2 linked regions of the Cricetulus griseus genome follow. The protein of the gene in region 2 purifies or fractionates together with the protein of the main gene of each other region. This does not show direct contact. Links are inferred from orthologs where the notes say so. Each region holds a gene or a part of one and is shown on either strand. Other genes may lie near its edges.

The links. The genes of interacting proteins can lie anywhere in the genome.
Region 1: the proteins of Eif3i (region 2) and Eif3h purify together in Homo sapiens (affinity purification with mass spectrometry; 7 studies listed by BioGRID and IntAct, counting the BioPlex papers as one, with this or other methods). This does not show direct contact. The link is inferred for Cricetulus griseus from reciprocal best matches to the Homo sapiens genes EIF3I and EIF3H.

The regions. Positions count from the first base shown.
Region 1 is NC_048603.1:3,232,863-3,236,612, reverse strand, and holds the start of Eif3h (eukaryotic translation initiation factor 3 subunit H), read right to left. Parts: upstream 2,264-3,750; 5' UTR 2,210-2,263; coding exon 2,078-2,209; intron 1-2,077.
Region 2 is NC_048595.1:23,438,327-23,441,567, forward strand, and holds part of Eif3i (eukaryotic translation initiation factor 3 subunit I), read left to right. Parts: intron 1-886; coding exon 887-952; intron 953-2,180; coding exon 2,181-2,330; intron 2,331-2,409; coding exon 2,410-2,537; intron 2,538-3,241. UniProt on the Homo sapiens protein: Component of the eukaryotic translation initiation factor 3 (eIF-3) complex, which is required for several steps in the initiation of protein synthesis.

The DNA.
Region 1 (3,750 bases), on a different chromosome or scaffold from region 2:
GATCTGGAGATCAGGCTGGTCTCAAACTCAGAGATCCGCCTGCCTCTGCCTCCCGAGTGCTGGGACTAAAGGCGTGCACCACCAACGCCCGGCTGCTTCAAATTTCTTAAGGCACTGTCCCATGACAGCTCTGCAGTTTCAAGACTGCCCTGAAAGTATTTTACTTTCTCTTCTTTGACAGTCTCACTATGTAGCCCAGACTGACAAACAACTCCCTAGCATCCTGCTGCACCCTCCCAGGTGCTGGCATTACAGGTATGTACCACCAAGCCCAGCCCAAGTCCTAAAATATGTATTTGTAGTTACCGATTTATAATATCTACCTGTTGCCTTCTACAACTCTGGAAACCAAGGAATCCAAAGAGTGGTTTCAAAGCATATGCAAGTGCACTAAAACATTAGTTCTTAAGACTTAAAACACGTTCCGGGAGTGTTTAGCTGGTACTTCTACAATTCAAGTCCACCACCCACCAACTAACCGACAATCTTTAAAAATGTAGTATTCATTCCTGAAGGCACCTGCTTCAAAAAAGCCACTGAAAGCTGAAACTGTAAGCGAAGCAAAGGAGACAGCATTGCCTTATACAGGGGACATTTAAATATTAGATAAACCTTTCCAGAGCTCTCCCGAGCATCCTGCAAACTCTGGCGTCCACAGATACATCACAGTCGACCATAACCACGACTGACAGTTTCACAAGCTCACACCCAGTCACCAGCATAAAGGGTTTTCACCCAGGCGGCCTGCGCCTCACCAGTGCTCCAAGTAAAGCCATGTGCCAGCACAACCTGCTGGAGGATGCTCCTCAAGCTTGGAAACCCACATCATTTGAGATGCCCACGTCTTCCGTCCCATGCGTTTTCTTATCCCGAGCTTTCCAGATGCCCCGGTGCATAAACCTTACCCAGAAATATCCTATTAAAAGCTTAAAAAGCTTATTCCCTGCGGCTTGTTACTGTGCAGACTGAGCACTGCCTAAGGGTCTGCCCCAGGTGAAGTGATGCACTACTTACTCAAAGCGAGGGTGACAGGGCTGGAGAGACGGCTCAGAGTGTTAGGAGCATTGGCTGCCCTTCCAGAGGTCCTGAGTTCGATTCCCAGCACCCACACGGCGGCTCACAACCATCTGTAATGACATCTGGTGCCCTCTGATGGTGTGCAGAGCACCGGCTGCCCTTCCAGAGGTCCTGGGTTCGATCCCCAGCACCCACACGGCGGCTCACAACCATCTGTAATGACATCTGGTGCCCTTAATGGTGTGCAGAGCACTGGCTGCCCTTCCAGAGGTCCTGGGTTCGATTCCCAGCACCCACACGGCGGCTCACAACCATCTGTAATGACATCTGGTGCCCTCTGATGGTGTGCAGAGCACCGGCTGCCCTCCCAGAGGTCCTGAGTTCGATTCCCAGCACCCACACGGCGGCTCCCAACCATCTGTAATGACATCTGGTGCCCTCTGATGGTGTGCAGAGCACTGGCTGCCCTTCCAGAGGTCCTGAGTTCGATTCCCAGCACCCACACGGCGGCTCCCAACCATCTGTAATGACATCTGGTGCCCTCTGATGGTGTGCAGAGCACCGGCTGCCCTTCCAGAGGTCCTGGGTTCGATCCCCAGCACCCACACGGCGGCTCACAACCATCTGTAATGACATCTGGTGCCCTTAATGGTGTGCAGAGCACCGGCTGCCCTTCCAGAGGTCCTGAGTTCGATTCCCAGCACCCACACGGTCGCTCCCAGCCATCTGTAACGACATCTGGTGCCCTCTGATGGTGTGCAGATATAGAGGGAAGCAGAATGTTGTATAATACATAATAAATAAATGTTTAAAATAAAGCCTCCTCCGGAGGTGTCTCTCTCTCTCTCTCTCCCCCTCGCAGGGCCCTGAACCCTCCTGCTCGCCGCAGCAGCTGTCACCGGCTTGGACCGGCTCTCCAGGGCATGCAACGTGTCGCCCACCCCGGCTCTGCTCGCCCCCGGCCCCCTCGGTGGAAACCTTTGGAGCCACAGTGCAGACGCCGGCCAGGGTGCTGCTCCTCGCGGGGACAGCGGCCGGAAGCCGGGCCGCCCGCACTCACCAGGCCGTCGATCTGCACCTGCTTCACGGCCGAGTCCCCCGAGCCGCCTTTGCCTTTGCCCTTCCCCACCGCGGAGCCCGCGGAGCCCGCCGAGGCGGCGCTGGGGCCGGTGCCTTCCTTGCGCGACGCCATGGTCCCGGCCAGACAGGAAGAGAGGGAAGCGTGCGGCGCCGGAAGCGGAACCACGGCGTCTGGACGGGGGGGGGTCTGGGTCTGGAAGGGCGGCCAGGGTGCGGCCACGCCCCCTCCCCGTGCTTCCTGAGGGCGGGGATAGCCCCGCGCATGCGCGTTGCGTGCCTGCCCGGATCCTTCCCGGGCCAGCGTGCGCTTGCACTCGCTCCGCTAAACGCGCGGCCGCTGCAGCGACAGAGCGCGCACTCGGGCGGCGGGGCCGGTGCAAAAGTGCTTCCCGCTGCTAGTTTAATTCCCACTCCTCCCACCAGCTTTCAAGGAGGCGTGAGGCAAGCCACAGCGCTTGCTAACTAGTGACAAGCTCCTGGGGCCGCTCGCTGGCCTTGTGACGTTTCAGATTGTGCAGTCTCTAACCCCAGGGAACGCACGGAAAGTACTTAGACCGTGCTTAACCTTGCTGCGGTCTCCAGGACCGATGCTTCGCTTGAGTAAAATACCAAAGGAGTTCTTTAAAAAAAAAAAAAAAGATTTTATTTATTATGTATACAACATTAGAGGGCACCAGATCTCGTTGCAGATGGTTGGGAGCCAACATGTGGTCGCTGGGAATTGAACTCAAGACCTCTGGAAGGGCAGCCAGTGCTCTTAACCTCTGAGCCATCTCTCCAGCCCCCAAAGGGGTTCTTTTATGGGCCGTTGGAGCGTTCACGTTGATGCAATGGTGAGCATTCAGAATACATGCCCTGCAAACCGTGCTGGCCTGTGACACGCGGGACCTACATGGTATCAGGTCTGCAAACCACTGCATCGGTTGTGCAGCAAGCCATGTTAAGCAATCCCTGCTCCCAAGTGACTTTTCGCCTTATGTTTGCAATGAGCATGGACTTCACTCACTATTCGGGAGTCATGCAATGCTCACACCGTGGCAAACCATACTGTACCCTGATGTTTTGATTTCGTTGTTGCTAGTACTTAGGGTCTGTTATATATCATACAGACAACAGAAACTGTTACACCCCAAGTGTTACTAATGATTCAACGACCGATTTTTCAAGTCTATAAGAAATATGAACAAAGTAGACCATCTCCTGGACCACAGAGAAAATCTCCACAAGGTGGGTCATAGAGGAGTGACACTACCAATCAGTAGCAGGGATGTAAAATGCAAAAATAAAACCCTCACAAAGAATTAAATGGGAGTCGAGCCTGCAGGGTAGGCCAGGTGGTGGTGGTGGTGGTGGTGGTGGTGGCGGCGGCAGCGGCGGGGCGCACACCTTTAGTCCCAGCACTGGGGAGGCAGAGGCAGGAGGATCTCTGTGAGTTCGAGACCAGCCTGGCCTACAAGAGCTAGTTCCAGGATAGGCTCCAAAAAAAAAAAAAAGTAGGAAGAAACGGCCGGGTGATGGTGGTGCACACCTTTAATCCCAGCACTCGGGAGGCAGAGGCAGGAGGATTTCTGTGAGTTCCAGGCCAGAGTGGGTTACACGACATCTAGGGCTGTTACACAGAAACTCTGTCTTGGAGAAAGAAAAGAAAAGAAA
Region 2 (3,241 bases):
GAGGCTCTAACCTAGGTCCTCTAAAAGAGTAGCAAGTACACAAGTGATCTTAACTCCTGAGCCATTTTTTTCTGGTCCCTCCAACCCCACCACCCTGGGATCTCACTGTGTAGTCCTGACTGTCCTGGGACTTGCTCTGTAGACTAGGCTGGCCTTGAACTCAGAGATCTGACTGCTCCTGCCTCCTGAATGCTGGGGTTAAAGGCACATACCACTACCGCCAATCTGTTTTGAGACAAAAACCAGATACAACCTTTCACCACTGAGTCTGGAGCTCACTCATTAGCTAGACTTGGTCATCAAGTCACTGAACTTCCTGTCTTTACTACTCAGTCCTGGGCTTGCAGGCACACCCTGTTCCTGCTGGAGATTCAAACTGAGGTCCTCTTGGTTCCACACCTAGCATTTTACCCACTGAACTGTCACTCCAACACTAATCATTTTTATTTTATTCTGTGTCTAGAAATGGCATGACTGTGTGTCTGTGTGTCTGTGTCTGTGTGTGTGTGGTGTCTGGTGCCCCCAGAGGCCAGAAGGTCATTGACCCCTGGAACTGGAATTGTGAGCCACCATATGGGGGTTGGGACTCTAACCTGGGACCTCTGGGAGAATAGCCAGTGCTCTTAACCACTATGCCATTTCTTTTCTTTTCTTTTCTTTTCTTTTCTTTTTTTTTTTTTTTTTTTTTTTTGGTTTTTTGAGACAAGGTTTCCCTGTGGCTTTGGAGGCTGTCCTGGAACTAGCTCTTGTAGACCAGGCTGGACTCGAACTCACAGAGATCCACCTGCCTCTGCCTCCTGAGTGCTGGGATTAAAGGCGTGCGCCACCACTGCCCGGCTCCCACTGTGCCATTTCTTGAGCCCAAGTTTCTTAACACCTTCTTCAGGGGACACCAAGCATGTCCTTACTGGCTCAGCTGATAACAGCTGTCGTCTCTGGGATTGTGAAACAGGTAAGCCTGGGCTATCCACTTTTCAACAAGAATTGACCAGCTTCAGTGTACCTGTCTAATTAAATATGTTTTGGAGAACTAGAGATAGATGGTTTCCAGTCTATAGATTCAGAGACCTCAAACAAAACAGCCAGGAAGTCACCTGAGGAAAGAAGCTTCATGTTTAAGATAATAAGCCATTCAACTTGAAAAATAAATAAAGGTTGGGAGTGATAATGAGCTATGTTCAAGGAAGGCCACAGAGGGACAGCGGACCTCCTGAGTGGGGAATGGGTGGCCTTGGGAGGTGGGAGCTGGGGCTTTCATTGACAGCAAAGTGCTTTGTCACAAGCAAGAATGAAAGCATGGAGTGTCCGATAAAAGGCTAGGACGAGCCGTGTGTGATGGTACACACCTTATCCCAGCACTGGGAGGCTGAGGCAGGAGAATGGAAAGTTTCAGGTAGCTTGGGGGTAGGGTAGATGAAACAGGAGGCTAGAGCCAGAAAAGCCTTGAGTGTGGAAGAGAAGACCTTAATTTCACATTCTGGGATCGGGGAAGTCATTGCCTTCACTCCTGATCTCAACAGGTTCCAATGGTCATACAGGTGGTCCTGCTTAAACTAATGGGGTCACAAAACAAAACTAGAAGTCACGAACCTGGGAAATGGACTGATAGTGGTGGTGATGGGGACAAGAGGGAGAGTAATCGGGGTATATTATATACATATGTGAAATTCCCAGGCGACAAAATAATTAAAATACAAAACTGCCCGGCAGTGGTGGTGGCGCACACCTTTAATCCCAGCATTCAGGAGGCAGAGGCAGGTGAATTTCTGTGAGTTCAAGGCGGGTTACAGGACAGCCAGGACAGTTACACAGAGAAACCCTGTCTCAAAACAACAAAATAAAAAAAAACTTGGCACACTGAGGAGTCTGATGAACAGGGAAGAATAGTGGACTGGTGGGTTTGAACAAGGTCCAAGCTGTAGAAGAGCTGACAGCCAAGGGGAGGCCATTATATTATTCTCGCTACTGGGTGATTACGTCTGCTTCTATGCTGGGACACGCAGGAGAAACAGTGTGAGAGGGAGACATAGCTGGGAACACGTTACTCTCAGGGTTGGTTCATGAGGAGATGCTGTAGGAGGGAGTTTAGCCTGTCGTCCTCAGGGCAGGAATGCTGTGAGACTCGGTAGGTGAGTGCAATAACATTAGACCAGAGTAACCTAGACCCCGCCTCTCCCCAGGGAAGCAGCTGGCCCTACTGAAGACCAACTCAGCCGTCCGAACCTGTGGCTTTGACTTCGGGGGTAACATCATCATGCTCTCCACAGACAAGCAGATGGGGTACCAGTGTTCTGTGAGCTTCTTCGATCTACGGGATCCAAGCCAGATTGGTGAGGGCTAGGACTAGGGGCGCTGGGGTGGGTGGTGTGACTTCAGATCCCAGGGCCTGACCTCTGCTGCTCTACACAGACACCAATGAGCCCTACATGAAGATCCCCTGCAATGACTCCAAGATCACCAGTGCCGTCTGGGGACCCCTGGGGGAGTGCATTATTGCAGGACATGAGAGTGGTGAGCTCAACCAGTATAGCGCCAAGGTAAGGGGCCAAGTGTTGCCAGATGACATCAGGTGTGGGAAGTACTCAGGCTATGTTACAGTGGTCACAAATAAGCATCTCCTGTCACTAGAGAATCAGACAGCAGCTTAAAAACAGCCAGTACATCCGGCACTGGTGGTGAACACCTTTAATCCCAGCACTCAGAATAGAGCTGAAGTAGTTGGTATACATGAGAATGTGGAGTCCTAGACGGTCATGATTATCGCCACGGTGCACTGTGGAGGCAGAGACATCCTAGTCTACAGAGCCAGTTCCAGGACAACCAGAGCTGTTAGATAGAGAAACCCTGTCTTGAAAACAAAAAACAAAACAAAACAAAAGGAATTGGAGATATAGTAATAAAAAGGAAGGGAAAAATAATATATTTACAGACAGGTGTGGTGGTCTAGAGCTATAACACAGCTGGTGAGAGCTGGGACCAGTGAAACAGGAGAATCAAAAGTTCCAGGCTGGTGGTGCACGCCTTAAATCCCAGCACTCGGGAGGCAGAGGCAGGCGGATCTCTGTGAGTTCAAGGCCAGCCTGGTCTCCAGAGTGAGTGCCAGGACAGACTCCAAAGCTACACAGAGAAACCCTGTCTCAAAAAACCAAAAAAAAAAAAAAAAAAAATTCCAGACTTGAGGGGAGCTGAGGTGAGACACACCTTTAATCCCATTACTTGGGGGCCAATGGCAGGTGGATCT